4 linked regions of the Diceros bicornis minor genome follow. Each later gene encodes a partner of the first gene's protein in a complex. Links are inferred from orthologs where the notes say so. Each region holds a gene or a part of one and is shown in the gene's direction. Other genes may lie near its edges. The genes, in order: BNIP1, BET1L, STX7 and VAMP7.

What was found.
Region 2: BNIP1 (region 1) and BET1L share a complex: the UniProt entries of both Homo sapiens proteins name them as parts of the SNARE complex. The link is inferred for Diceros bicornis minor from reciprocal best matches to the Homo sapiens genes BNIP1 and BET1L.
Region 3: BNIP1 (region 1) and STX7 share a complex: the UniProt entries of both Homo sapiens proteins name them as parts of the SNARE complex. The link is inferred for Diceros bicornis minor from reciprocal best matches to the Homo sapiens genes BNIP1 and STX7.
Region 4: BNIP1 (region 1) and VAMP7 share a complex: the UniProt entries of both Homo sapiens proteins name them as parts of the SNARE complex. The link is inferred for Diceros bicornis minor from reciprocal best matches to the Homo sapiens genes BNIP1 and VAMP7.

Annotation. Positions count from the first base shown.
Region 1 is NC_080740.1:86,935,901-86,943,415, forward strand, and holds the start of BNIP1 (vesicle transport protein SEC20), read left to right. Parts: upstream 1-4,459; 5' UTR 4,460-4,483; coding exon 4,484-4,567; intron 4,568-7,111; coding exon 7,112-7,204; intron 7,205-7,515. UniProt on the Homo sapiens protein: As part of a SNARE complex may be involved in endoplasmic reticulum membranes fusion and be required for the maintenance of endoplasmic reticulum organization. Also plays a role in apoptosis.
Region 2 is NC_080770.1:18,081-25,592, reverse strand, and holds the start of BET1L (BET1-like protein), read left to right. Parts: upstream 1-4,486; 5' UTR 4,487-5,685; coding exon 5,686-5,817; intron 5,818-6,098; coding exon 6,099-6,155; intron 6,156-6,300; coding exon 6,301-6,468; 3' UTR 6,469-7,512. Other genes in the region: RIC8A (synembryn-A), read right to left, coding at 608-758, 1,334-1,425, 1,917-2,507, 2,593-2,640, 2,920-3,003. UniProt on the Homo sapiens protein: Vesicle SNARE required for targeting and fusion of retrograde transport vesicles with the Golgi complex. Required for the integrity of the Golgi complex.
Region 3 is NC_080762.1:5,448,543-5,456,541, forward strand, and holds the start of STX7 (syntaxin-7), read left to right. Parts: upstream 1-4,871; 5' UTR 4,872-4,961; intron 4,962-7,999. UniProt on the Homo sapiens protein: May be involved in protein trafficking from the plasma membrane to the early endosome (EE) as well as in homotypic fusion of endocytic organelles. Mediates the endocytic trafficking from early endosomes to late endosomes and lysosomes.
Region 4 is NC_080781.1:139,858,694-139,865,997, forward strand, and holds the start of VAMP7 (vesicle-associated membrane protein 7), read left to right. Parts: upstream 1-4,252; 5' UTR 4,253-4,356; intron 4,357-4,820; exon of another isoform or gene 4,821-4,874; intron 4,875-7,304. UniProt on the Homo sapiens protein: Involved in the targeting and/or fusion of transport vesicles to their target membrane during transport of proteins from the early endosome to the lysosome. Required for heterotypic fusion of late endosomes with lysosomes and homotypic lysosomal fusion.

The DNA of each region.
Region 1 (7,515 bases):
GGCCTCTGTCATGGTCTGGGAACTTTAAGGAGCTGGGTGAGCCAGGGCAGTATAGTCCTTAGGAAACTAAACCTTCTGTGGGTAGCACCCAGTTAGGTGGGTCATTCAGTTGTCCCTCCTCACCAACAGTGATTTCAGAACCAGGAGAGCTAGTTGGCCAGAAAGAAAGACATTAGTTGGGAAATACTTTAATATCCCAGCTGAAAGGTTCAGAATAGGAAGAGGGCATTAGAAAGTCTAGAAGGCTAGGGTGGCATTCATTAAGCCCCTGCTAGGTGCTCTCCCATCAGGGAACTCAGCTGCTGCTCTCAGTGGCGCAGTGAGGTAAGCAGTCATGTCCACTTTACAGAAGAGTCAGATGAGACTCAGATGAGGCCACTCACCCCAGACCCAGCTTATGTGATAGACAACTCTAATTTAAATTCCAGTCTGCTTGCCGCACTCAGAGACGATTCTTACTCATCTCTAAGGGACCAGGCCAAGTCACAGGCGATTTGGTTGGATGTCAATATAGGAGGAAAATAATGGGTTTAGAATCTGAAAATCAGAACTAAAGCCAAAACCTAGCAGATGTAGTAACCAAAAGCTGATCTCAGGATCAGTGGATAAAGATGATGGGAGCAAAACAGCGTTGGCAGTAGTCAGTAATTGGGGATGTGGGTCACCAAATTGCATGTCTATCACTCAAAGATGGCCTCTAGCTTAAGGGCTTAGAATTGGGGCTCTGTTAGAAGAGAGTGTGTTGAAGGGTGGAGAAAAAGGGAGCTATCTTTTCTTTAATTGCTGCATTGAGAGGCAATTGGGGACTGTTGATTGCGTAGGAGTTTCCAGCAAGAAGCCTGATGTGAAAGGGGCCCAAGGTCATGTGGGCAGATCTGCTGCCTGCAGACTTTGGGCTTCTTCCTGTCCTAAATAGGGAGCTTCTATTTGAGGATCCAAAACAGTTGAGTGACCTGAAAAACGTCAAACTTGGTTTCTTTAAAAGGTTTTAGTCTTAAAACATCACCAGGAATGAACTTAACAGAAAATGTACAAGGCCTAGATAAAGAAAACTTTAAAATATTATGAAGGACACAGAAGAAGACTTGAACAAATGGAAAGACAGACCAAGTTTTTGAACAGGAGCAGTCAATGACATAAAGTTGTCAGTCCTCCTAAGTTAAAAAATTTAATGCCATCTTAAAACATACCAGGGGGTTAAAAAAAAAAGTTCACCTGGGGAAAAAAATAATAGCTGCAAGATGCTGGGGAATAAAAAAAGAAAAGCAGTGTTCATGTTAACCTATTAAAACACATAAAACTATAATAATTAAAAGTGTCATTTTGGTGCATGAGTGAATAGACAGGCCAATAGAACAGAATGGAAAGTCTAGAAATAAATTCAAACATAAGAGTTCAGTATGGTAAATGAGGCATCCAGAATCAGTGAGAAAAAGATGGATTCTTCAGGAAATAGTGTTGGAACAACTGGGTAACACTCTGGAAAGAGTAAAGTTAGCTCTATACCTCACCCCATAAGCCAACATATATTTCAAAATGGGTAAAGATCTAAATGTTTAAAAAAAAAAAAAAAACCGTAAAAACACTAGAAGGAAATGTGGGCAATTCCTTTAAACCCCTACAGTGTGAGGAAGGCCTTTCTAACTTGGATCCCAAATCCAGGAGTCATAAATGAAGATTGATAAATTCTATGTTAAACAAAAATAAAAAACTTAAAACTTCTTTAAGGCCAAAAAACACCATAAGCTAAGTCAAAAAAAATTTTTTTTTTTTTTTAGGTCTTGAATCTTGATTTAATAAAGTTTGTACCATATCAAATAATATCAAAAGTCTAAGAAAACACGATGGGTTTTTACATCATGTTTATAAATTATTGTTTATATACCATAAAAAAAAAATAAGGTCAAAAGTGCAGTTTAGGGCCGGCCCCGTGGCTTAGCGGTTAAGTGCGTGCGCTCCGCTACTGGCGGCCGGGGTTCGGATCCCGGGCGCGCACCGACGCACCGCTTCTCTGGCCATGCTGAGGCTGCGTCCCACATGCAGCAACTAGAAGGATGTGCAGCTATGACATGCAACTATCTACTGGGGCTTTGGGGAAGAAAAAAGGAGGAGGATTGGCAATAGATGTTAGCTCAGAGCCGGTCTTCCTCAGCAAAAAGAGGAGGATTAGCGTGGATATTAGCTCAGGGCTGATCTTCCTCACCAAAAAAAAAAAAAAAAAAAAAGTGCAGTTTAAAAGAAAAGTGGAAGTTGTTATTCTTGGTAAGAACTAGAAAAATGTATTGTCCCAAGTAAGAAGCAATCTAAAGGCTTATACAGTTTCTTAGGAATTTTCCTTTAACTCTCATACAACTTTGGCTACCATATGCCATAAGAAAAACCAATAATACAAAGAGAGCTAAATAATCTTCTTATAAAAATAATAGGAAACACAGATCTGGTGATAACAAACATTGGAAATAAACATAATTATAGAACTCCTCCCAAAAATTAAATGCGCTAAGTCAAAATTTTATAGACTAGGGAAAAAGCTCATCTCCAAGGGCTAATCCTCCTAATATATAAAGAGCTCCTAGAAACTGATGTGAAAAAGACCAACAACCCAATAGAGAAATGAGCAGACAATAGAGTAAATACAAATACCTCTCAAGCTTGTTCATGATAAGAGAAATGCAAATTAAGAGATGGCATTTTTCACTTAATCAGACTGGCAAAAATCCCAGCGTTTAACACACTGTGTTGGTGAGGCCCTGGGGAAGTAGGCATTTATACCACATTGCTGGTGGGAGTGTAAACTGATATAACCTCTACGAAGAGCAATTTGGTAACATATATCAGAAATTTAAAATGCACATATCCTTTGACCTAGCAATTCCATTTGCATTGGGCAACTCATTGTTCTCTCTGTGCCTGTTTCCTCGTGTAAAATGTGGTTAATTCTACCTCATAGAGTTGTTGTGAGAATTAGATGATACACATAAAGCATTTAGTATAAAGTGCCTGGCACATAGGAAGTGCTCCAAAAATGTCAGTTAGTAATATAATAATGGCAGCTAATGCACACAGAGCTCTTACCACATGCCACATTACTACACTGTGCTTGGTGCTTTTCATGTATTACCTCATTTCACCCTCCCACCAAGCCAGTGATTACCCCCAGTCAGCCTCTGAGGAGACTGAGGCACAGAGATGTGAAGTGGGTTGTGGAGCAGGATTCAAGCCAAGGCAGACGCCCAAGCCTGCAATACACCGCCTCTCTATTAGGTGCAGTGGGGTGATGAACACCTTCAGGGAGGGTGTGCGGCGTGCTGGAGGAACACAGATAGGCGAGCACACAGCCCCCCTTGTACACTACCCAAAGGCCATATTTGGTTCTTAAGGGAAGATGTGGCTTTCAGGCAAGGCACTGCCACTTTCAAGTTGGGTACCGTGGGGCAGGGATGTCCGGTTTTGCTTTGTTTTGATCTACTCTTAGTCCATCTCCCAGTCTGTAAAACTGGAGTATCACCTATTTCAAGCGTGGTTGTGCGGATTAAAAGAAACACAGCTAGGCCCTCAGGGTGTCACAATCTATGCTTGCTGAACTGAAGTGAACAAAAGTGAATGGGGCTGGGGGCAAGTGGGGAAAAGCATTCAAGAACAGGGAACAGCACATTCCAAGGCTACATATCCAAAAAGAGCTTGAAGGATCTCGGGAGGAGGTGGGGCTGGGTGAGGTGGCTGATGGCCTTGAGGACCAGCTAAGAAACTTGGGACTATTTAATAATAAAAGTAAAATGAAAGAGCCTCCATTTGTTGAGGGTCTGCTCTTAATTATTTCCATCAAAACTACATTAATCCACCAAAACTACTCGGGTGATGTAGACTTAATAAATCCAGTTGTACACAAAAGGGAACCGCCAGGAGCCATAGAAGGGGTCCAAGCTGGGAGGTGACTTGATTAGTTACGCGTTTTAGAAAGATCCCTCGGACCATGTGTTGGACTAGTGGCCTGCCTTGAATTCCAGACACTAAAAAAAGTAATAATAACAACGTTTACCATTTTTTCTTTTACTCCACAATTCATAGTCACTGTAGAAGATATGAAAACACAAGGAAGTTTCAAGAAATACAAAAAATTGTTAATTCCACCTTCCAGAAATATCCCAATTGATACTTTTCTTCCAGCCTTTCCCCCGCCCATGTAAAAAATATGTAGTCATTAGAATGGCTGATAGGCGGAAGATGGGGAACGTTAAACGCTGTTAAAACGCTCTTCGATTCCCTCTTCCCTTCCTCTGCGTTTTACTAGGATCACGCCAAGAGGAGAGGCTGAGTCCCCGACGTGTCAGGGAAAGTCCCCAGCACCGAGCGCGGCACCCTCGCACGCCCCAGACCGGGCTCTAGGGGGCGCTGCCGTGAGACCGGGCGGGGAGGGAAGGCCGGGGCGCGAGAACGCGTTTGCACTTGGGCACTGTCGCTGCCCGTAGCTGGCGTCCCCAACATGGCGGCTCCCCAAGATGTCCACGTCCGGATCTGCAACCAAGAAATTGTCAAATTCGACCTGGAGGTGAAGGCGCTTATCCAGGTACTAATTCCCGAGACCGCTGCCGGGCCCCAGCGTCCCTAAGTCCAAGCTCCGCTGGCCTTCTGTGAGCTCGGTGGTCTCACTCCCTAGCTCTCCCCGCTTGGTCAAGTCTCCGAGGTCGCTGGCCCCACGCCATGGCCGGCTATCCCCTTGTTGTTACGCTTGAGTCCCGTCCCCTTGACCGTTGGCCTTGATCCTCCATCCAGTGCTGTCGGCTCGCCCTCTTCCGGGACACCCCCGGGTCCCCCGCCCCTGACCAGGCTTCCCCTGTGGCCCCGTTTGGTCCCTCCCACACATACCCCTGATCGTCGCCTCGCCCCCGAGCGCCTCACAACATACCTGTCACCCTGCTTGGCCCTGTTTTCTGACACCGCCCTCTCCATCATCTGGTAGCCTCCTGGGACCATGAGCCCCGCCCCCTGCTGGCCAGCTCCGCTGGTCCCGTGCTTCGTGGCACCCAAGGCTACTTGGCGCTGGAAGCACCGGGGAAATGAACGTAACCTGGACCGTAGTGGGGATTTTGAAATGAGGAAATCACGTAGACTGCCAAGGCCTAGGTCAGAAGGCAGATAGTGAAAGTCAGCCTAGAGAAGGGACTTAGAGAGCCTCTACTCCTCGGTTTAATAGGGTAATTGAGGTGCGTTGCCTTAGGCCATTTAAGGGTGGAAGGCAGTAGTGCAATAAACCAGTTGACACAGGCAAGAGGTAGGAATGGAGAAATGGTTCCTTGAGTTTAGCAAAAAGAAACCAAGAGTCTTAAAGCTTGGTTTAAGGGAAAGCGTTTCCATTTCCAACAAATGTTACTAAGCATTGGATGTAGACTCAGAGTTTGCAACTAGCTTCGACAAAAAGCGAAAGAAAGTAGGACTCCTCAGGGAAACCAGACGCAAAATAAACCAAATAAGTGGTTCATCGTAGGGTGCAAGGAAGTGTGATTTACGAGTGAGCCAGAGAACAAGTGAGGACACTTGATGCAAACATTTTAACTTCTTGAACTTCATGTCTCCCATGTATAAACTACAAAACTTCTGGGCCAATTCTAGTAAAATAAATTTAGGATTTATACAAATGAAATCACTTTTTCACATAATCTAAATTGCTTAAATCCCCTTTTGTACTCTCTAACATTTGGGCTCTCGTGATTGCTAATGAGAAAGATTGATCATAGCTAGATTTATTGTACTCTTACTTTGTTCCAGCTCCTCTGCTAAGCACTTCACATACATCCGTGGTCTGTGAGCTAGGTAATGTTGTGATGAGGAAACTCAGGCTCAGAGAACTCAAATGACTTTTTCAAGGTTTCACAGCTAATAAGTTGCTTCAGCCAGGATTTGAATCCACATAGTTTAGCTCCAGAGCCTGCTCTAAATCCTGGCCCTAGTAATTCTGAATGTCCAGAAACAAATTCTAAATCATATTCTAAATTGAACATGTCTGTAAACACTGTGATTTATAATATGTGGTTTGAAAGATCAGATAAGATGTTAGTCTTGTCATATTAGGCCAGGAATTTAGCATCCTGGTTTTCCAGTTGGAAAAATCTAAAGTTGTAGGATCACTTTTGGGTGTCCATTCTTGTTGGACACACAAGCTGCTTTAAGCCTTTCATACTGGCCAGGTGGTGTTTTGTTAAACTTTAGGAACTCGTAAGTCAAGACAGAATTGTGTTTCTTCCCTTCTTTTTTTCTTTTTTTGAGGTAAAATTGGTATATAACATTATAAAAGTTTCAAGTATACAACATTATAATTTGATATTTGTATACACTACAAAGTGATCACCACCGTAAGTCTAGTTACCATCCATCACTATACAGTTGATCCTGTCCCCCCATTGCGCCTGTCCCCCAACCCCCTTCCCCTCTGGTACCACCAGTCTGTTCTCTGTATCTATGAGTTTGTTTTTGTTTTGTGTGTTTGTTTTATTTTTTTTAATTTTTTTAAATTTTATTTATTTATTTATTTTTTCCCCCAAAGCACCAGTAGATAGTTGTATGTCATAGTTGCACATCCTTCTAGTTGCTATATGTGGGACTCGGCCTCAGCATGGCGGGAGAAGTGGCGCGTTGGTGCGTGCCCGGGATCCGAACCCAGGCCGCCAGCAGCAGAGCGTGCACTCTTAACCACTAAGCCACGGGGCCGGCCCTGTTTTATTTTTTAGATTCCACATATGAGTGAAATCATATGGTATTTGTCTTTCTCATCTGACTTATTTCACTTAGCATAATACCTTAAGGGTCCATCCATGTTGTTGCAAATGGCAAATATTCCTTTTTTATGGCTGAGTAGTATTCTCTTGTATATAGAGTTGTTTTTCTTTTTATGCTTTTATATTACCTGCTCAAAATTAATCTAAAGAAGGATGAGAAAAATGAAAATGATAATGTTTTTGCTTGTGTTGCAGAGGTAAAGAGCAAAGATTAGGATGAATTACAGTCAGTAGGCCAACCTTAGGTGTGGTCTACACCAACTCTCTCACTGTACAGATGGTGTCATTTCATTTCGTTGCCTTAAGAAAGACCCTCTCATCTCTTCAATGTCTCCTAGGATATTCGAGACTGTTCAGGACCATTAAGCGCACTCACTGAACTGAATACTCAAGTGAAAGAGAAGTTTCAGCAGTTGCGGCACAGAATACAGGTGAGTGGCTGCAAAACTGGGATGCTGAGAATGGGCAGCAGTGAACGGGGCTGGGTCCTGGCACTCACCTCTGCCTGCGTGCTGTCCAGGTTCTTCAGTGAACGCTTAGACAGCCAGGGTGACTGTACTAACCTGCTATCCAGGTCAAAATGAGGAACTTTTACATGCAGAGCCAGCTGTGTTAACAAGTTAACAGCAAGTTAACACTGCCAGCTGTCTTAAGTGGATGGCAGGGACACCATTGTCCCTGGAATTTTTCAACTTGAAAACTCTGAAGCTACTTCAACTGCTTTCTCTTCTCTAGCACTCTC
Region 2 (7,512 bases), on another chromosome or scaffold:
CAGGTGTGTGTGCCCCAGCTCACAGCACACCTGGGTAATGGGGATCCCTGAAGGGTCTACTGAGTCTCAGTCCATTGCACTCTTTAGCCTGCATGATGTCTGCAAGCTCCCACAGGGGCTCTTCAGAGCCCTGGACGGCCAATATCCTATGGTGCAGTCGCAGGAATCAGGAAGCCTCTGGCTCGAGGTCCCTGTGGGTCCCCTCAGGGACGTCTAGGGACAACCAATGCTCGTCACCAAGGGCTGCCCGTGCACAGAAACACTAAGAGTCTAAGATCACAGGCAGGGACTGGGGGCTTCTCAACACCATGCCAGAGAGATCCATAAAGAAATCTAAAAAGCAGACTCTGAAAACTTGTTTCCTTGTAGTAACCAGAAGCGAAACCTTCAAGTGTGTGTGTAGGAGTGTCCACATGCTTCTCAGGGAGGACGGGTCTGGCTTCCTGCCTGGCTGGACCACAGAGCAGCTGGAGGATCACCTGAATCATACTGGCGAGCTAATCTTCACTCACTAACGTGGACGGCACAAAAGCAGTGACCACAGCTGCTCAGGAAGGCCAAAGCCAGAGCCATTGGGGAGCCCACACAGCAAGTCCCCTCTGCCTACCTGATGCAGACGCTTCTCCAGGAAGCTAAGGAGGACACGAATCACATCCATGTTCACTCCCAGGAATTCCAGGGAGCCTTCGTGTGGCTCCAGGGTGAGGAGGACGTCCAGACACTTGAGGGGCAAGTTCCCCAGGAGGTTCACCGTGTGGCTGAGGACAGACGGGGAGAGGGGCTTGGTGAATCCAATCCCCCAGCACAGGCACAACCCTTGGTACCTCCTGCTGGGGCTGCATGTGACGTGAACCAGTGTCCAGGGGCCTAAGGAGCAGCACAAGGGGCCCGAGCTGAGGAGAGGACTGCTCTCAGGGGGCACTCCTGCTCAGTGGAGTGGGTCCCCGAGGAGGGGGGCACTCTTATGCAAACACCTCACCTATGACCCTCTGTCTGGGTTGAAGCACCACAGACCACCTCTGGAAAACCAAAACCTGCCTCCAGGGACAGGTCACCGAGAACAGGAATGAGGAACCTACACTGCCCTGTAGATACTACACCATCCACTGCCCCTGCCTAAGGTCCTGGGGCACACTCCTGTTCCCAGACTCGTGGCTCTCGTCCTAGCCATGTACTCTAAGTGCCAGAGCTCTCTGGAAACCCACTGATGTCTAGTCCCACCCAGATGGGTAAAGACTCGCTAGGGTGGAGCCTTGTCCACAACCATGGCTGGCAACCACCATCTAGACACGTGAGCACACTTCCCTCCCAACACAACAGGCCCCACCCTCACCCGTGGAACTCCTCTGTACGGTCTCCAGCAGCAGTGATCATCACACAGTGCCGCAAAAGGGTTCCCAGGTGCTGGTAAAGGGCAGCATCTTCCTGACCAAAGAGTAAGAGGTTCCTGTGAGAGAGAGCCCCACTTGTCCCCCTGCTGCCAGCTGAGATTCCACCGTCTGCCCCACTCCAGGACCAAGTGCACCGATTACACATCTCCCCCACTGCACACCCGGCCCCTCCGCCTCTCCTACACAACCTGAAAAGCACTCTCCTGATTAAGAACGTCAACAGATGTCCTTGGGATTGAGTCACACTCTGTGTTCTGACCCCATGCTCACAGCCTCGTGATTGGGAATCTCCTACACTGTCCCCATGTATCACACAGCTCTCCTGCCAGGCTCCAAAAGCCAAATGTGCTCTCCACCTCCCTCAGAAACCTTCCTTGGGGCCCCTACCCAGGCGTCTCCTCGCCTCCTCCAGTCTTCTCTGAGCCTAACACCCTGAAACTTGAAGGCACCCAACAGGGAAGCAGATCCAGGAAACATTCAAGCTGTTAAGCCCCACCCACGGGTTCAGATCAGCTCTCTTCTTACCTGGTCCACCTCTCTCTTTATGGAGTCGAAAGTGATGTTGAAGAGCACTTTGAGAATTTCCATGGCCCGCTCAGTCTCCTGGGGAGGAAGGAGCGCAGGGGGGCTCTCTTCCGGGCTCATTCCCAGGGTCAGCTCCAGCGCATCTGTCAGCAGGTGCACTCCCCGCAGCTCCTGAAACAGCTGCAGGCGCACGTCGGTGCGAAGCGCAGTTAGCAAGAAAAGAAGGCGCAAATCAAAGAACTGGACGTCGTGAGGAAAGCTGCTCTTGCGGTACAGCCCTACGCGCTCTGCGAGTCTCACCACCAGGCGAGCCTCTGCTGCCAGCACCTGTGCCACCGGGCTGCTGAGCACGAGGTTGCACAGGCACTTGAGGGACTCGAGGACAACGTCCATGTCCAGGGGCTCGGGGACCGAGCCCCCGGAGGCGGAGATCCCAGCATAGCAGGCAAATGCCTGCAAGCTCTGGCGGCTGGTAAATGGGTCCAGGCAGCTGCGGTCCCTGGACAGGATGCGGATGCTCTGCAGCCAGGTGACGCGGCGGGACGGTGGCAAGCCCTGCTCCAGGACCGAGGCCAACAGCTCCGCCAGTCTCTGTGGGCGGGGAGTAGAGCGGCTCCACCAGGCTCCCCGACCCGGGGCCCCCGTCTCTGCCCCTTACCCCTCGGTCAGCACCCACCTTCCTGTCCTCCTGCTGGGCGTCATCGAATGTGAAGCTCTGGGAGTTCTGCAGGGAAACCCAGGGGCTCATGGAGCGCAGGTCCGCACGGGCAGATCCCGGCCTCCGAGATGAGGCCCGAGGCTGCAGGCGCCGCTCCGAACAGATGGCGCCCCGCACACCTGCCCCCAGGTGCGCACGTGACTCCAACCAGCGACTCCTCGTAGGCTCGGCGCCCCTTCCTGCCGCTCCCTTCCACCCTCGGGCCCCGCCGCAGTCACCCACCCCTCCGCCGGCCGCGCCCACCCGGCCCACCGCCTCCTTGCGCGCCCCACGACTCCCGCTCACCTCCTGGTTGTACGCGAGCAGAGCCTCCATAACCACGTTCTCTTCCCCCGTTTGCACGGCATCGGCCACCGCCCGGGGCTCCATGGCGTCTCCAGTACTTGGCGCCCGGAAGGCGGGACGTGGCTCCGCAGCCCCGGGCCTGAGTCCGCCAGCCCCGCCCTGGCTCCGCGCGCGGGGGAGGCCGGGACGGGGCAGCGCGCGCCTTAAGGTGGCGCGCTTTAAGGTGGCGAGACTTGGAACAGCCTCCTAGAGCGTGAAGGCTTTGCCGCCCGGGCTTCAAGATCCGACTCGGTGATCGTCCGACCTCAGGTCCCGAGACGCCCCCGAACCGAAGAGTGACCCTCGGGAATTCTCGGGCAGGAATTCCTGGCGGAGACGACCTCAGCCCCACCCCCCGCCCCTCTTGATGAACAGGACGGACAGGATGTCGCGGGTACAGCCACGGTGGGAAGGGCTGCCAGCCCCCGCACCACTTGGTTTGTTAAACGGGCGTTTGGGCGCCTACTACACGCGAGGCGCCGTGATGCGGGCGAACAGGACCCGCGGACCCTGCCTTCGCGGACCTTATGTTCCCAAGGCGAGGACAAACAAGGACGATTTTAGGCAGGCGGTGCCGTGACTGGAAGAGGAGAGGCTGCTGGGCTGCAGAGAGGTCTGAGGTGCCGGACGAGAGGGGAGCCAGGAAGATCTGGGGACGGGCATTCAAGGCACGGGGGAACGGCCAGGTGGGAGAGAAACGGACCTCGTTGGGGCTGAGGAAGGCTTACGGTCAGGGTCAGGAGGAGAGCAGAGCTCCACAGTGCGCGGCGGCTCCTCGCTGCGCAACCCAGACACACGATCGGCCTGGACTCAGGCCTCTTTCTCGAAGAGCAGAGAAGACCAAAGTCGCCCTTCCAGTGGGTTGTCGGGAGAACTCAGTAATACAGCGGATGCCCCCGCAGTGGCGGGCGACTTGCCCTGCAACAGGCGCCGGTCGAGCGTCCACTCGGCCGGGCCCTGGGTCGGCGCCAGCGCACAAGCAGCAGCCCCACCCACTGTCCGGCTCCCCGTCCTCGTCGGGGGCGTCCCGGGCCCCGAGCACCACCTGGTCCGCCAGCAGTCACCGCGCCGCAGCCCGGCGGGCCGGGGGACCTCGGGGCCGGTCCCTCGGCGCGCCCAGCCCCGCCCGTCGCCCGGGAGAGGGCCCGCGAGCTCCTCCCACTTCGGGCCTGACGCCGTCCCGGAGGCGTGGCTGATAGAGGCGTCTGGACACCGGAGCTGGCGTTAAAAACGCTAACCCTAGGCGGTCCTAGTCAGGCGGAGGAACCAACATCAGGCCACTTCCGTCCCCACCCGGGCGCCCTGCGCCCCGCGGCCGGAGCCTCCGCCGGAAGTCGGCGGGCGCGCGGCGGAGGGGGCGGTGACCTCCGCCGGAAGTAGGCGGGGCCAAGGCGGAAGCGGCGACGCCGGAAGCTCGTTCCCGCGGCTGCGCCACGTCCGCCGCGGCAGGGGCCGGGTAGGCGACGGAGCCGGGGCCCGGAGCCGGCACGATGGCGGACTGGGCTCGCGGTGAGCGCGGGAGAGCAGAGCCGGATGGCGTCGGGGCCGGCCGTAATCGACGCCGCTGCCCGCAAGAGCTGCGTCCGCGCGGCCCAGCCCGCTGGGTGGTCTCGGCGGGGAGGCCCTGCGGGCGCTGGCGGCTGCGCTGTGGGCGGGTCGTGGGGTCCCTGCGTCGCGGGGCCCGGCTGCCCGGAGTTCGTACCCCTCTGTCCCTGTCAGATGGTTCTGCTGGCACCCCGGCCGGCCTCACGGTCGCGGAGGCCAGCCCCTAGGAGGGAGGCTGCGTGGTGGGAGGGCAGCCCCTTCGCCCTCTGGGAGCCCGTGTTCTCGTCTGCGATGTGGGATGCTGATGCCTGTCTCGCCGGGCTCTTGTGACCGTTGAGAAGTTAATGAACGTGAGGGGGTTGGTAGAACGCCAACACTCCTTCCTTTGGCGTCTGTATCCATCTGTGGTTCCTAGAGCTGCACCCCCATTAGATGGGTCACGTGGAGGCATCTGGCCCGGGGCAAGTTTGCACTCGGAACTGGGGGGACGCGGTTCTCACCCACCTGATGTGACAGTAATGCCGAACCGCCTGGCCGCTCCCTAGTCATGGGACCGGTCTTAGCAAGCACTGTGCTCGGTGTCATATAAGGCCCTGGGTGGGGTGCAGAGGTGAGCAGGCCCAGGCCCTGCCCTCGGGATCGACCTCAGCGCCCCCGTTTTTGGGTGTTGGGGAGCTGTGCTGAGTTGTCTCCTCCCTGGTTACCTGTCATCTCTTGAGGACCGAGTTCACAGGTCGTCCCTGCAGGGGTCTTCCTGCTGCCCCCCCACCAGTCTTTCCTTGGTCCATACCAGAGTTTACTGTTTTTCTCTGGGAACAGGTCTCTTGTACGCTGATAGTAATGTCTGTGGAGGGATGGTGCAGGTTCTGTCACAGAGTATCAGAAAGTGCCGGTTGGGCTGATCCTTTGAGGCTGTACATGTTGGGGATGCCTGTCCACCCTGGCCTGGATGTGTACACAGGACATGTGGTCACGTGATGGGTGCCCGCACACGCTGTTGTTGACACAGCCTGTCTCACGTGTGTGTGAAGTCCTTACACCGGATCCTGGGTTAGGGCTGGACTTGTTCATCAGACACAGGTGGGCCTAGTCCCGCCAGATTCCGACTCAGGTATATGGGATTGTAGTGAGAGAGTCCTGAGGCCACGAAGGGCTGACATCCAGGGGTCAAGGGCAGTGCTCATGGGTGGATGCACCCCTCAGCCTCTCTTTCTCCTTGCAGCTCAGAGCCCTGGCGCTGTGGAGGAGATTCTAGACCGGGAGAACAAGCGAATGGCCGACAGCCTGGCCTCCAAGGTCACCAGGCTCAAATCGGTCAGTGGTGGTCCTCCTGTTTCACCTCCACCTGGCACCTTGGAGCAGGGATCAGAGGGAGGGTAGAGGCTTGGAAGGGTTTCATGTAGTTCTCATCTTCCTTGTCCCATCCGTGGCAGCACTCTCTTGTGTGAGGCCTAGGTGATACCTGGACCTCCTGATCTCTGCTGGTGGTACTGTGTCTGGCAGAATCGTTGGTTGGGTCTGCTGGTCTCATGGAGGGTCAAGCACCATCCAGTGTCTTCCCTGGCCTGACCCTGCCCCCTCTGTGTCCTGATCAGCTTGCCCTGGACATCGATAGGGATGCAGAGGACCAGAACCGGTACCTGGATGGCATGGTAAGGGTCTGCAGCGTGCGTGAGTGTTTCGGTCAGCTCTGCCCCACACTGCCTGCTATATAGGTCCCCAGTGTCTCCTGCAGCACTCTCCTGTGGGTCTTGGAGGGTCCACCCCTGTGTGATCGTGTTGGGATTCCTCCCTCAGGACTCGGATTTTACAAGCATGACGGGCCTGCTCACGGGGAGTGTGAAGCGCTTTTCCACAATGGCGCGATCTGGGCGAGACAACCGGAAGCTTCTGTGCGGTATGGCCTTGGGACTCATCGTGGTCTTCTTCATCCTCTCCTACCTTCTGTCGAGGGCAAGGACGTGAACCAGTGGGAGCTGGCGTCTGTGGGTGCACAGGGCAACCAGCATCTTCCTCTACCTGGTGTCCTGGGCTCCAGAGGACCTTCCTACAAAATACTCCTTTGGAACGATGATCGTGGCTTAGGAATCTTCTTCCTGTGTGGCTGGGAGCCCATGGCTGCTTCTGGCCCAGTGAGATCATGTTGGCTGTCCCATGTTGCTGGTCCCATGCAGACATGGGACCCTTTCCTTTGGGGAAACCAAGGCCCAGCACCCTCTGCCACTCCAGGTGCTAGAGGTGCCAACAGAGCCAGGTCTGAGCAAAGGAGCTAGGAATCCTGGACGTGGCTACCTGTGGTCAGTCCTTCCCCCAGCCCTAGGGGCTCTGATGTCTCCAGGCACCTCTGCCCCATCCTTGTCTAGGTAAGGCCACGTCTGGTGTCTGAGGTGCCTGGAGCTGATAGAGAAGGGGTGTTTCTGTGAAGCTCCAGGCAGCACTGTCTGTTCCAACCGACAGTCTCAGCCTAGAGATGGTGGTTATTCCTGGCCAGGGGTCCTGAGCATGGGTGGACCAGTGAGGCCTCTGTGCCTGCTCTCTAGTCCCATGGCTGAAGCCAGACCCTTGGGGAAGTGCAGGGGGTTGTGGATGAGGAGTGGGCTGCAGCCTTGGCTGGAGGCACTGGGCCCGGATCCTTCTGGATTTTGTGGTCATGTATTCCAGGAGCAGAAATTCATATTTTGTCAGGATGCGGAATCTCCCCAGCGCCAAATATGTGTTTTTGGAGACTAGATGTCTAGAAACAGGCCCATTTGGTATTTCAGAGTCAGTCAGGGTATGGGAGTGAGGGGGACCTTTTGTGGGCCCAGACAGGAGGCTTTCCTGTAAGGACTTTCTTCATAGGACCTGTAAGTCACTTCTTGAGGATCACCAGGCAGTTTTTCCTCCACCAGGCCCAGCCCTTCCTCCCACAGCAAGTCTCTCCTTGCTGTGAGGGAGGTCTGAGCCACACCCTCCTCCCCAGCGTCTGCAGATGGCCCTCCCTGCCCCCCTCTCCCAGGGCCCTCACTG
Region 3 (7,999 bases), on another chromosome or scaffold:
GAACTGTTAAAACTCAACAATAGGAAGACAACTCAATAAAAAATGAGCAATAGATCTGAACAGACACTTCGCTAAAGAAGATATATGGATTTTAAATAAGCATATAAAAAATGATCAACATTATTATGGAAATGAAATTAAAACCACAATGAGATGTCACTATGTACCTATTAGAATGGACCAAAATTAAAAAATAAAATCTAACAATATTAAATGGTGATGAGGATTTAGAGCAACAGAAATCCTCATTCATTGCTGATGGGAATGCAAAATGATACAGCCACTTTCGAAAACAATTTGGCACTTGCTTATAAAATTAAACATGTACTTATACAACCCAATAATCCCCCATCTAGATCTTTACCCAAGTGAAGTGAAAAATTATATTTTTTATCTAAATCTCTATGTAAATATTTATAGAAGCTTTATTCATAGTTGCCAAAAATTGGAAACAACTAATAGGTGAATGGATAAATAAATTGTACATCCAAACAATGGAACACTACTCAGCCATAAAAAAATAGCCACAAAGTATTGATTCATGCAACAATGTGGAAGTATCTTAAATATCTTAAGTTTTGCTAAGTGAACGAAGTCAGACCTAAAAGGCTACATATTGTATAATCCACTTTGTATGACATTCTGGAAAAGGCAAAACTATATAGAGACAGAAAACATGAATGGTTGTCAGGAGTTGGGGAAGGAGAGGTGGTTAGCTAAAAGTTACTGCAAAAGAGAATCTTTAGGATGATGAAACTGTCCTGTAAGGTGTGGGAGAAGAGGGAGAATCCCCCTCTGCCCTTTCCCGTAAGGTTCTTATGGTTGGCCAAATAATTAGCAAGACAGGTTAGCAGGAGAAAATAATACCAAGTTTAATAACATGTATACATGGGAGAAACTCAGAAATGAGCAACTCGTCCCTCTGTCTAAGCTGCTTGCTTAAGTATTGTAGCTAAAGGCGAGGAAGGTGTTGGGGGTGGGTAGTGGTCTGGGACTTCAGAGGGCAAGAAGACAATTCTTCTTTTCAGGTTCATCTATAGATAATGTGGTCAGGGAGAGAGAGAGTTTTTTGATAAAAGGGGCTTGGTGCCCCTCCCATTGTAACATCTATTTTACATTATCATTACAGCCATGATGATAGAAGATCTGTTCCAGGAAGGAGCCACCAACTCAAATTCTTTAGGCAGTTAGTGGGAGAGGTCAAATGTCCCTCAGAGAAAACAATCAAGGTAAAGAGATATATTTCAGGGTGGCCAAATCTTGATCTCCCACAAAGGTATTGGGGTGATGGATATATGACTGCATGCATTTGTCAAAAATCCATAGCACTATGTGCCACAAAGTGTGAACTTTATGCAAATTAAAAAAAAAATCAACTAGTACGTTTGAGGAACCCCAGATGAAATGCAGACACATGACAAACAAATCTAAATGCAATACAAACATAAAACATAACTTCACTGAATGGGGTAGGGAAAAGAACTGATCTGGTTAATTTTGGAAAACATTGTCTCGACTCAATAATGTAAGGCTAAAAACAAAAAGAATTTTCCATCAACACTGTACTCAAGGTTTTTTGCTTTTTTCTCTCATAGGAATATGAGTTAGCAATTCTGAAACTACTTTACATTGTACAAATAAGTAATCATTAATTAATTTTATTATTTATTTATTAATAATTACCACTTGACTGACTTCTGATTGCACTTCAAAATCTTTTCAAGAAGACCCAAATTCCCAAAATTACTGGGTCTGAAAAGCCAAATTACAAGCCTTCAGACACAGGTCACTCCTGCGAGTGTAAAGGATTTGTTCGGGGAGAAGTGAAATGATTACTTGTTAAATGAGCAGAATTTTTGAGCCCTGCCTGGGTTCAAGGCCCCTGGCTGAATTTCACGAAGTAGCAGGCAGATGCAAAGAAGGGATACTATAAATGTTAGGAACTCTCTGGGAATTTATTTATCTTCTATGCCTCTAAATTTTGCAGGCTTACCTAAACTATATTTTTTTCCATTTGATTACAAAGGGATGAAGTCTTATTCTCAGATTTTCAAAAGACCTGGAGGAATCCACTCATAACATGTTTTAAGACATGAGAAATTGGAAGGAGCCCAGGAGGAGGCTCTGAGCTGTGGTTCCAGTTCAGGCAGTAACCAGCAGGGTAACCTGAGAGGCCACGTAGCCTCAGGGTCTTCTTCTACAGGGCACCATGCCTTCCCCTCCCACAGCCCAGGGTTCTAGCAAAGGTAACTTGAAAGCATGTTTGGAAAGTGTACCAGACCTTATGTAGATGTAAGTTCTTTGCATGATAGTTCCTTGATTGATTGAAATGCCTCTTCCTAAGTTCACCAACCACTTCTTACTTCTCAAGTCCAATACACAACTTTCAGTTCTTAATTTACTTGAACTTTCTGTGACACGTGCTATCATGGAACATTCCCTCTTCATTCTCTAGTTCACCTTTTCCTAGTTTACTTCCTATGTCTCTGATTACTCCTTTTCAGGGTTTCTCTTTCTCTACCCTCCCTTAAACACAGAAAGTCCATAACATTCCTTCCTTAGAGTTAGTGAGCTCATCTGTTCCCACGGTGCCAACCAGAGCTCTATCCTGAACACCAGCTCACACCTTCAAGTACCTGTAGGACACTGGACATCTCAAACTGGATGTCCCTTCCCCAGAAACTTAAACACAACACACCCAAAGCTCAACTTATTGTCACTTCACTCCCTCATTTCACCAGCTCCTTCCTCAAACCACAATTACTTTGTTAGTAGTCTTGGATCTCAGTAAGCTATATCATGCTCAGCTCAGTTTTGCGTGTCCTAAGAGTAGGAGTCATCTCTTTCATTCTCCATATCTAATTTATTTATTTATTTATTTATTTATTTATTTATTTATTTTATTTTTTGTGAGGAAGATCAGCCCTGAGCTAACATCCATGCCAATCCTCCTCTTTTTGCTGAGGAAGACTGGCTCTGAGCTAACATCTATTGCCAATCCTCCTCCTTTTTTCTCCCCCAAAGCCCCAGTAGATAGGTGTATGTCATACATACATTCACTATATAAACTCTATTTGCCTTTCCAGTCTCGTATCCCTCCAATCCACTGACTACAGTTTATCTAAATAAACATATAGAGATCCCTAAGAGTTTGCATTTGCCTATGATTTTATAAATTTTTATGTGCTTCTTTTTTTGCCTGAAATGTCCTTTCCCACCTTGTCTTCTCAGTGAACTCTTACACATCTTTCAAGCTTCTGTTAACACTTTCCTTTTGGAGTGGTGCCTGACCCCACAGTAAGGCATCCTCGTCTCTGGACTCTCACTGTGCTATGTACAAATCTTTATCATAGCTCCTTTTACAGTGTCCTGGGAGGGATCTCACTCCTTGAGAGAAAACACTATACCCTACCCATCTTCATACCTGCAGTGCCTGGCACAGTACCTGACAGATGACAGGTTCTCAGTGAGTAGTTGCTGAATGAGTGATATGGTAGGAAGAACTCAAGATTCCGAACTAGGTCATCTGGACCTGTGCTGCTTATACTTATCTGTGTGATTTTGATGGAGTTTCCTTGGGTTTTAGTTTCTCTAATCTGTGAAGTGAGGGAGTGTACCTGGATTTTCTGTAAGGGCCTCCCCAGCTTTCATACTCTGTGGTTGACACTATTCCCTTTTATAGAGGTTGAAACACATATTTTGTCTGATCACAGAATATATTATACAAATTTAAGAATATTGAAGAAAGGAGAGATTTCACATAAAAATCTGAATTTCCACTGTATTTTGACAAGGCGGAAAACTTGACTACTGCGTATCGGGCCAGTATTCCTAAAAGTCTGCAATCAGCTTTAGCTGAATCCTGCTGTCCCTGAAGATGGGGTGTGTGCCTTCCGCTTGGCCAGTGTGCCCACCTCCGTCCATCGCCCCCTCCCCACCGAGGCAGAGTGTAAGTCTCTGCTCATTATCACACTTGCAGTGTAGTTTTCTTCAGTCAAGAGGAGAAAGAAATATTTTTTTCCCACTTCTCTGTTAAAAGTAGAAAAATGAAAAACAAACTGCGAGACCCTTGTATTTCTTATCCCAGGCTGACCTTACTTATGTATATATGCATGTATAATTCCAAACAACCTAGAATTTGCTCAACTCAAAATGTTCTTTTTTTTTTTTTTTTCCCGTTAAGTGCATCTGGAGTTTTGACGTCCTGATGATCCTTTCAGAAAATAGTGTTGCCTTAATACAGGCAAAAGCCAAGCCAATCTATCTTCTAACCAATTTGCTGAGGTATTTCTTTCACCTGAAGCATTTGATGCTGTTTATCTAACACTTACATTCTGTTTGAATACTGCATTTATTACGAGAACATTCTCTGCTCTCTTCAAACACTGTGAAAACTGCGCCCTGCCCTTCAAGGATGACTTGTATGTGCTACGAACACCTGTCTACCAAGTGAGCACACGGTCATGATTTCCCTTTTCCTTCATTGTTCCTGCTGGGGTTGCCTATTTGCGTGCGCACTCTCTATGGCGCTGTGAATACAGTCTACCGCAGTTGAGGGTTAGCCAACAAAGCAGGCATGAGCTGACGGGGCGGGCCGAAGACGCGAGGCTAGGGAGGCTGGCATCACCCTATAAAGAAGACAGCTCCCCTGCATTCCCTCCTCTTGTTTTTGCACGCAGGGTGAGGCGTTCCCCCTCGGCACGTCAGGCCTCGAAGAACACCTGCTCTGCAATTTTGCTGGTCCCCCCATCCCTCAGCTTAGAATCAGAGGGGGCGGGACAGGGCTGTCACTCCGCTCCGCGGGCCAATGGGAGGGGAGGAGCCGCCTCCTTCCCAGGCGTATCGCGGGCATGCGCAGTGGGCGTCTGGACGCCACCGCCCATCAGCTGAGAGCTGTGGCTGCGGACTGTGGGTCCGGGGTCCAGCGGCCGGAGGCGGAGGAGGCAGCCAAGGAGGTCGGGGTAAGCGGGCGGGGGCGGGGGTCCCTGCGCCCCGGGGGCGCGCCGGCCCGGGGCTGCCGCGCCTCCTGGTGGGCGCGCGTGGTCAGGGGCCGCCGCCCTGCGCGGTGCGGCGGGCGCTGCCCGGCCCCGGGGCGCCCGCTCCCCTCGGCCCGGGCCGGCGCGGCGTGCCCCCGGGCCCGGCCGGCCCCCGCCTCCCCGCGCCCCGGGCCCCGCGGCCGCGCCCGCGCCGGGTGGGGCGGCGCCCAGCCCGCCCGGGCGGCTCGGGAGTCCAGCCTGCGCCGCGGGCTGACCTCTTCCTCTTTCTCGCTCGCCCGGGAGAAAAGTTCTCCCGCTGGAGGCGAACTGAAAATGCGGCGGCGAGGGCGCCCTGTGCGCTCGTTCCGAGCCTCGTTGTCGCCGTTTTCCTATTTGGCGTGATGACTGGGACACGCTGACTTGCTTTGATCCTCTCAGCTCCTGTCATTAATTGGTTTACATAAAGACCTTGACAGATATATAAAATATTTCCAGCTGCCCCCTCCCCCCTTGTTTTTTAGGTTGTTAGTTTCTTTAAATTCAAACAAAAAGAAAAAAAAAAAACATTGCCTTTCTGGTCAATTGCTGTATTTTTCTCTCTCGAGTGTCTTAGATTTGCTTGGCTCTTATATACATGCAGTAATTTTTGTTTAATTCAGATCAACGTATTCTGACTATAAATATATATAATTTAAACCTGGCACAGAATCTGGAAGAAAAGAAAATGCTTCTGAAATGCTCTGCGGTTCAGTAATGTTGGAGGTGGGCGTGTCTTCTGGGGGTGGCCTGAGCGATAACTGATGTGGTAAACTGTGTCTTGTGATGTGGACAAGCCTCTGCTTTGCAGGCCACTTTGAGAAGTGCGTCTGACTTGTGACCAGTTAAGAATTACGGTTTAGTTTCAAAGAAGATAATATAATACCGTATTAACTCAACATCTGTGTCATTTTTCCTCAGATATTTTACTTCTGCTCCCCATAACACAGTCAGTCCTAATTTTGGTTATGATCCCAAACTTTAGCCAAGTGCTGTGGGTGAAAAATAAATTCTATGAAACACCTGCAGTAAGTCTGAGTAAAGTTTGCCTCTGATTCCATTTAATTTGAAAGATTAGTGTGTGAAAGGGTGAAAAATAATCCTTAGTGTTGTGACCTAAACCCAAGTAGTAAATAGGTTAACGGATGGAGGAGCTGAGCTCAAGAATGCGGTTAGTGTAGTTATAGAGAATGCTGGTGTCCGGAGAGGGATCGCCATCACATTCACGGAACATCTGTGCACCCTGCACTGTGGATTCCACAAGATGACAGGGTTGTCTCTCTCGTGTCTGTATTCCAGAGGTGGGGTAGATAATAAACTGTATACTAACTAGATCGTTTTAAATGGTGATCAGTGCTATGGTGCAGTAAGTTAGAGAGATCAACAGAGAGTGGCGGGGTGGTGATCTCTCACTTCACATGGCAGTGGTCACGGAGGCTTTTCTAGCATGTGATGAGAGCTTGCTGGGGAAAAGAGCCAGTCACTGGGATCGTGGGAAGAGCCTTCTAGGGATAGGAAATAGCACCCAGCAAGGTCCCCAGGCAGCAATCGTCCTGGGACATCAGGATCTGAAAGAAGGCCCTGGAATTCAGTGTCTTAGAAATGGTCATATTTAGGGGCTAGCCTGGTGGTGGAGCAGTTAAGTTCACGTGCTCTGCTTCTGTAGCCCCTGGTTCACCGGTTCGGATCCTGGGTACGGACCTACTCAGTGCTCATCAAGCCACGCTGAGGCAGCGTACCGTATAGAAGAACTAGAAGGACATACAACTAGGATATGCAACTATGTACTGGGGCTTTGGGGAGAAAAAAAAAGGAAGAGGATTGGCAACAGATGTTAGCTCAGGGCTGATCTTCCTCAAAAAAAAAAAAAAAACCCTACCCCTCTGGGAACTTCACATTTTGGGGCACGGGGTGGATGGAAGTCTGTTGCTTTACGCTGGTGCTCACCATTAAGAAAGTGAAACTGTTTCTATTGCCCTAAGAGAGTGAGATTTCTTCAGGGAAATCTTCATGGGAAGATTCATGAGAATCTTAAGGATTCTGCATGTGTCCAGTAGTAACTGGGGGTGGTGTTTGACAGTCATGATTCCATGTTAAAATTCCCTTTGTTCTTTCATTTGTGCTCTTTAGAAAGTCTTGAGAGGACGCTCGTGAATACAGTCGATCCTCTGTATCCGAGTGTTCCGTATTTGCAAGTTCAACCAACCACGAATCGAAAGGCCTACATGGATGCGTTTGTGTGAACGTATACAGACTTCTTTTTCTTGTCATTATTCCCTAAACAATATAGCATAACAACTATTTACATAGCATTTACATTGTGTTAGGTATTATAGGTAATTTAGAGATGATTTAAAGTATATGGGAGGATGTGCAAATACTACACCATTTTGTATAAGGGACTTGAGCATCCCCAGATTTTGGTATCTGTGGGCTTTCTGGAACCAATCTCCCAAGGATACCAACAGAGGACAGTATTGCACTTTGATTCTCTTTTTGCTTCTTTCTCTTCATAGTGTTTATATATCTTCATAGAAAGGTAATTATTGAGATGTCTAGATGAGCACTGTTTAATAGAACTTTCTGCTATGATGGGAATGTTCTATACGTGAGCTGGCCAAGCCACTGGCCACACATGTGATATTTGAACACTTGATAGTGCAGGTATAGATAATGAGTTATTGTTATTCTGAGCAGTAAAACAAGGGATTCTGAATGGGCTTTCGGAAGTACTCAGCAAGAGAACTGTGGTGTGTATTAGCTCTGGCCTGGGTGCTGGAGACTGATGTGGGAAGCAGGCGCCAAAATAACTTGGTTGCTTAAGTCTCTATGCAAAGATAAACTTTTAAGTCAATTTGTAGGTAGCTGTCTGTCCATGTGTATATTTTTTTACAGTAAAGTTAGTCATTTGGCTCCTTTATTTCTCATATCTCATCATGAGAAGAGCCAGCCACTGTTGTACTTAGATATCACTGCTAGCAGAATGA
Region 4 (7,304 bases), on another chromosome or scaffold:
GATACATGATGACTCTGACTAGAATGAGCCACAAAGAGAAACAAACTGTGCCATACTCAAATGTTGGTGATTTTGTAGACATTGATAACATGGTAGCTCCCTCCGCTGATTGTGAATATCAAAGGAGAACAGGCATTCTTGAGGTAGGTCTGTTTTGAGCATAGAAGAACAGGAAGAAAAGTTGCCCAAGTCCAAATATCCAGGAAAAAAGAAGCATAAACAGCACTGTTGAGCAGTGATAAATTGCAATAATGTGAATGATTTTGATGCCAAAGCAACAGTCACTAGATTTGTTTGTGAACCACAAAATAACACATCAGGTTCCAATCCTGATAAGCAGAATGTAAAACCAGGGTCTCCCAGACATGACTAGAGCTCTGTGTGATATATGTATCTTATTTTAGCCCAATAGACATTTCTGGAGCATCTAGTACATAAGAGCTGGTTTGTAATCTGGGCTCCATCTCTTCTTAGCTTTGTAATCTTTGTCAAGACCAGAAGATTTCTCATGTGTACAATTAGGAGACTGGATTAGGTTATCAAAATCATCAGTTCTATAATTCCAGGCTTGGTAGCTGCAGGAACTGAAATGGAAATTGAAACCTTTACTCCATAAACTCAAACTATCTAAAATCATGGATTATAAAGAAAGAGATTCTATTCTTCAGTAACTTGATGAAATGGTAACAGAACTTCTGAATTTGAAAATTATAAAATTATAAAGCCACCTATTTAAATGGTTCTGCATGTACTTTAGTGTACACATCCAGAAGTATTTTTCTTAGAAACTACCCAACATATTTTGAAAACTGTACATATTAATTTATTACCAGGATATACAGTGTATTGGCATGCTAACTAAAGCCAGATAACTTTTTAAAAACCCATACATCAGATGATATCAATCCTCTGCTTGAACCTCTCTAATCATGTCCCATTATACCTAAAATAAAATCCAAACTCCCTCTCCTGGCTTACACAGCCTTGCAAGACCCTCTGGCCACAAGACGATAAGAGGGAACAGAACTCCAAGCAGAGAGAGCTAGAGCAAAGATCATAAAGTGGGAAGGAGCTTGGGGTATCTGAGGAGTAGAAAGAAGGCCCGCGTGATCTCCTCTCCTACCACTCTCCCCTCACTTCCACTACCCTCTAGTCACTCTGGCTTTATTTATGTTCTCTTATCTTCTTGTGGCTGCTTCCTTCTTGACATTCAGATTTCAGCTTAAATATTTCCTCAGAGAGACCTTCCTTGATTTCCCAATATAAAGGCTTGTGCTCGAGATACAAATTTTGGAGCACAGATGAGATTACTTTAGGAGAAAATATCGAGTAAGAAGAGGAGCTTTGATAGAGCCTTAAACTCTCTAAATTGAGGCAACATTTAGGGTTCACACAGCTATTAACTCAGGACTGTCGGGCTCCAAAACTCCATTCACTTTCTAAGATACTATGCTGTCTCTCAAAGGATAGGTATTGAATAAAATGAAATTTAATATTAATATGAAAAGTAAACCTTTGCAGATGGTGGATAAAGCTGAAAAAAGAAGCATATACTTTTCTGGAAAATGAAGAGGTGATATTTGAGATCGGTTCTGAAGAATAAATAAGATATAGAAAGGAGAGGCAGCATGTGCAAAGGCACTGAGGCATGATAGAGCATGGTATTGAAGTATTAACTCCATATAGGCAGGGACATTTTCTGTCTTCTTCACTGCTATATCGCCAGCATCCAGAGCAGGCCTGGCTCATAGTAGGAACTTAGTACATATTTGTTGAAGGAATGGATGAATGGATAAATGAGTGAATTCCACCACAGAAGAGCAGGCTTGAACACAGGATGTGTTGGTGAGAGAAGCAGAATATGAAGCAGGAGAGGTAGAGAGTGGTCAGATCATGGCGGGCCATGAATTTTGTGTTGAGATCTTAGGCTTTACCCTGCATATAATGGGGAACCAATAAGGGTTTTAAGTAGGATTTTGAAGTGATCAGGTTTTGTTCTAAATAGAGCAATCTCAAGCGATGAGGAGTTGGGGGCAGGGGTGGGATGGTGAAGGAGATACTATAGGTACAAAGACATTACTTCTGATTTTTAGTGCCCGGATCATTTTAGTCAGGATTCTCTGAATATACTTCAGTTTGTCTATAGCCCCCTAAGAACTGATAACAATAAATAAAGTATGGTATATCCTGCACATATTAGAGTAGAACCATGTGTATAGTGCCTTATGACCAGTACTATATTTTTGTCATGCTTGGAAAAATACTGAGGAGTGGAGTGGGGGTAACTTGCACAAAATATCTCACCATTTCTGATTTTTCCTTTTCTTTCTTGCTAAATATAAACTAAATAAAAGTAAATGCTATCATTATGTAAGATCTAATGAAGGATAACTAATTACAAATACAATGCTTGTTCAAGAAATACTTATTGTCCTTGAGTGCTTACTCTCTGCCTGGCACTATTGTTCATTAATCATTGCAACAATCCTTGAAGACAGGTACTATTATTATCCTTATTTTAAAAATGAGAAAACTGAAGCTTGACAAGTGAGATATTTAGGAGATAGAATTAATATGGCTTGCTGATTGTTTGGAAGTGAGCTTTGAGGGAGGGAAAGCATTAAAAATGATACCCAGCATTCTGCTGTGGGCAACTGATTGCATGGTTGTTCCATTCAGTGAGATGGGATTAGAGGAGAAAGAGGAGCCGGTTATGGGAGAGGGGAGAGTAGAAATGTATTAAGTCAACTGAGGACTACTGCTAAGATTTAGGTACTTGAAAGAGCTGCCCAGCTGTCATTAGATATTTCAGTCTGGGTTACAGGAGTCTTGTTGGGGCTTCCTATATGTGGGAATCATCAGCATACTGATGACAACCAAAGCAATGGGAATGGTTAAGATCACCCAAGAAAAGTGTGAAGAGTAAGAAAAGAAGAGAGTGTAGGGCAGAGCCCTATGGAACATGAACATTTCAAATGAAAATGAGGAGTTGCCACAGAAGTGGGCAGGAAGCCAGGAGAGTACAGCATCTTAGAAAGAGCTAAGAGAATAGAGGGTGCTATGAAGTGAATGTTTGTGTTCCCCCTCCCTCAAATGTATATGTTGGAGCCCTGATATTCAATGTGATGGTATTTGGAGGTGGGGCCTTTGGGAAGTAATTAGGTCATGAGGGTGGAGCCCCCATAAATGAGATTAGTGCCTTTATAAGAGATGTGAGAGAGATGATGTCTCTTTGCCATGTGAGGATACAGGAAGCAGGTCCTCACCAGAACCGAACTATACTGGGACCCTGGTCTGAAACTTCCCAGCATCCAGAACTGTGAGAAATAAATTCCTGTTGTTTAAGGCATCCAGTCTGTGGTATTTTGTTAAAACAGCCCAAACTGACTAAGACAGAGGGTTTCAAGAAGCAGGAAATAATGAACGTACAATCCTGCAGAGTTGAAGTATGGTAATGGTTGAAAAGTATCTATTTGTTTTAGCAACACTGTTGAGAATTTTGCCTGGAAAGGAGAGGTGGGATAAAGACCCCAAGGTTAAGTCTGTGTGTGGTGAGGGTTTTGAGGGGTGTGAGGTTGACAAAGGTAAGTTTGGAATGTTTTAGATAAGAGAAACTTTGACAGTCTTTAAATGCTGATAAAGAGCGAGTAAGCAGGGAGCCGTTGAGTCCTGAGACAGAAGGGTTCATCAGTGGAGCTAGCTTTTGAGTTGGCAAGAAGGAATAGGGATGTAAAGGGGACGGGGGAGCTTAGATCAAAAGAGAGTGGTTTTTATTATTATTATTATTATTATTATTATTGCAAAAGAATGGGAGAAACGATCGCTGAGGGGTGCAAGGTTAGAAAATTTCGTAGCGAAAGTAGAGGGAGTGCCTGTCAGATGAATTCTATTTCGTCTGTGAAGTAACGGGCCACGTTACCTGCTGAGACTAAACGGGGAGATGACGAGGAAAGCTAGGCTTTACATTTATCCCGCTGACTCAATGCTGGTGGACTCTCTGTGGCTCTGCATCCTCTCGTTTTCCCGGAGGAACAGCACTTGATGTTGTTTACGACAAAAGTTGTTGACCCAGCGGGTGACAGATTCGACAATACGCCAGTCGGAACTACCACTCCCGGAATGCAGTGCGGCTCCGGGGAAGTGCGGGGGCTGGGAACACGGTAGGCCCCGCCCCGCCACACGCTCCCATTGGAGGAGCGCTCCCATTCCCAGGAGGCCGCGCGTGGGCGGGGGGCTTTACACGGAAGCCGGTGGCGTCCGGTCCCAGCCTCCTCTGGGAGCGGACACTCGCTGAACTCGTGCTGACCCGCGCTCCTGTGTTCTGAGCCCGGGCGCTCTCAGAGGGTGCCCCGACAGGTAAATGGAGCGGGGCGCACTCGGCGGAAGGCGGGGAGACGACGCCGGAGGGAGGGTGGAGGTGTCGACGGGAAGGTGCTGGGGTGGAGCGAGGAGGCAGGGCAAGGGTGACTTGGGCTTCTCTGATGTCGACAGTTCGAGTTGTCGGTCAGGTCTAGTTTTGGCGAAGTGCGTTATGCCGCTGAGAAGGCCTCTAGTTAAATAGTGTCAGAATGCGTCACTTAAGTTGTTGTTACAGGAGGGGAAAAATGTTAACTTTCCCTCTGTTCGCATTCTGCAAGACCTTTCTGTAGCATTTGAATCTCTTGAGATCTCCTGAGTCTTCTGAAAACTCCTCCCTACGCCTTTGTTTCGATGACGTCACTGTCTTCTTCACCTCCTACTTCTGAGCTCCTTGGTGGGTTTCTAGCCCTCTGCGTGCCCTTCTTCCACCGCCCGGTGTTAACGTTCATCTTCTTCCTCAGGTCGGATAGGAACTCTGTATCTCCGCCCAGTGCTATTTCCTCAGCGTCAGACATGTATGTTGTTGTTATTGTTATCAGCCAATATTTAACAAACTCTGTGTACTAGACTCATTGGTAAATACTTTATATCTCCCTCTCCCGTAACCCCCACAAACAATCAGTTATCAAGTCCTTTTCTTTCTGTCTTATTAATTGCTCTCAACTGCCTGTACCTCCATTGTCTCACCCTTGATCCCAGAGGATACTGTCATGTTTGGGACATTCTTTCCCTTTGAATAGCAGTGGCTGAAAGCAGACTCACTCATATGTTTAACAAATATTTACTGAACAGCTAATATGTGCTAGACACTCTTCTAAGTGCAAGAGATATAGCTGGAAACGACATAGGAGATCGCTACTCTTGGTAGCTTACAAGTTTGTATGTGGGTGTGGGCAAACAGGAATAATCAAGATGATGTTATATGGTGGTGGTGGTTACTGCAAAACAGAACAGGTGATTGACTGTTGGCAGGGTTGGCTCCTATCCTGAGAAAGTCAAGGAGATTGAATTGGGTTTCAGAGCCTTATATCAATGTTTGTTCTTCATTCTTCTGTCTCTTCCAAGATTATTACACCAGAATTGGTGGTTTATCAGTCCTTGGCTTATTTCTTCCTAAGACCCAGGCAGAAGAGTTGGGGATTGGATTACTCTCAGCTCAACTTCTTTATCTTACTTAGGGAGATAGTTTAGTAATCAAAATACTCTTCTTGCCAGGTCCTACTAAATATAAAATTATGTGTCATTTATAGTATATTTAAAACCAAAACATGCTCAGTGTCTGTTCATTTGTTCAACAAATATTTGAGGGACTATTATATGCCAGGCACTGTACTGGGCATTGGGAACCTAGTGAGGATAAAATAGACGCTTTGACACCATTTCCAAGAGAAATAATTGTAACAGCATACTAAGGAAATTCCTAATACATAGGCTGACACCTGCATTCTTTTTTTCTTCATCCAAGGTGAGATAATCACAAAACTTTAAGAAATCTCCTGAATAATTGTGTACATTCGTAGATTATTCACTCATTACACTTTATTGCATTTATTTGTTTATGTCTGTATTCCCCATTGTACTATGGCTCCCTTGAGTATAGAGGTCCTTTCTTACTGATCTTCATACCTCCAGTGTCTACTACATAGACTGCCAGATGGTAAACCCTCAGAACATATGTGTTGAAGTGAAATAGGAAAACTATTTGATCCAATCCAAATGAATTTATACAAGGCCTTCTTTATATAAGGCCATTAGGCTTATCCCTAAACTTTCTCATTCAACAAATGTGAATCATTCCATCTCATCAGGCTAGTTTGTTTACCTTCCCTAGCTTGTTCTAACTTCTATGCCTTCTCTTGTTCCATAGCTCCATCTTAAAATGAGTTCTCATCTCTTTTCTGAGCACCTGCCATGCCCCCCCGTTTAATTTAATGGGCCAGTTTAATAGTATGCCCCATGATACAGGGGTGGAAAAGATTTAATTTCCATTGTGTTATTTCCTATTAAACATTCTGCTAAGGAACTGTTGCAAGGATTAACGTAATATATCTCCTTTAAATAATATAAATAATGATTCAGAATGCTTTCTTTTAATTTTGCATTGACTATTACCATGTACTACGTGACGAGTTAATTCTTCCACTTCTTTTTTCTGTTTGAACAGTTTCACAACCTTTATTCACACAGCACGTTATGGTATTATTTGGTTTCCACTTGATACAAACACATCTTTGAGTATTATTTTCTCCTTAGCCTGAGATAATTTACGTGTTAATGTTATTCTGCTACGTTGTCATTTTCAGAATGTCAGATAAAAGTCTCAATTCTTAAAGTTTTTTTCCATGCAGATTTCTTTCAGTTGTAAATTGTTACTGCAAAAGATAAATTCTCTCTTTATAACAGATTAAAAAACACAATAGGAATACAAGACTTGAGTCATGATTGTCATTATGATTTTAGGATGTGCCAACCTAAGAGCATCCAGACATGCTTCCAAGACATTAAAAATTAAGCACTATCATTTTAGGGCATTTCTTGGCACCTGTGCCTTCATAATGCAAATGTAGCACTAAATTGTGGATCATTGCTCATTTATAAGGTATACATGTAGATGATCCAGAATATTCATATACATGTTTTAATGTTATCAGAATTAAAATACAGAATTAAAAATTTCTCAAAGCACATGGACTTGAGTGTGAGAAACACTGACTTGATCTTTTTCCCTACTCAGTTCCGTGAAACTGTCTTCAACCTCCACTTGAAAATGCCTCCACTGAGGAGGAGCGTTTGCATCATTGCTGTGCTATTTTGTTAGCAATTTCTTTTAATACAGGGAATCCCTTACTTACAAATGGCTATATTCCAAAACTTCCTTTGTAAGATTATTGTTTGAAACTCTGGATGCATTTTCCTCTATAAATAATACTACTCATGACCTTTCG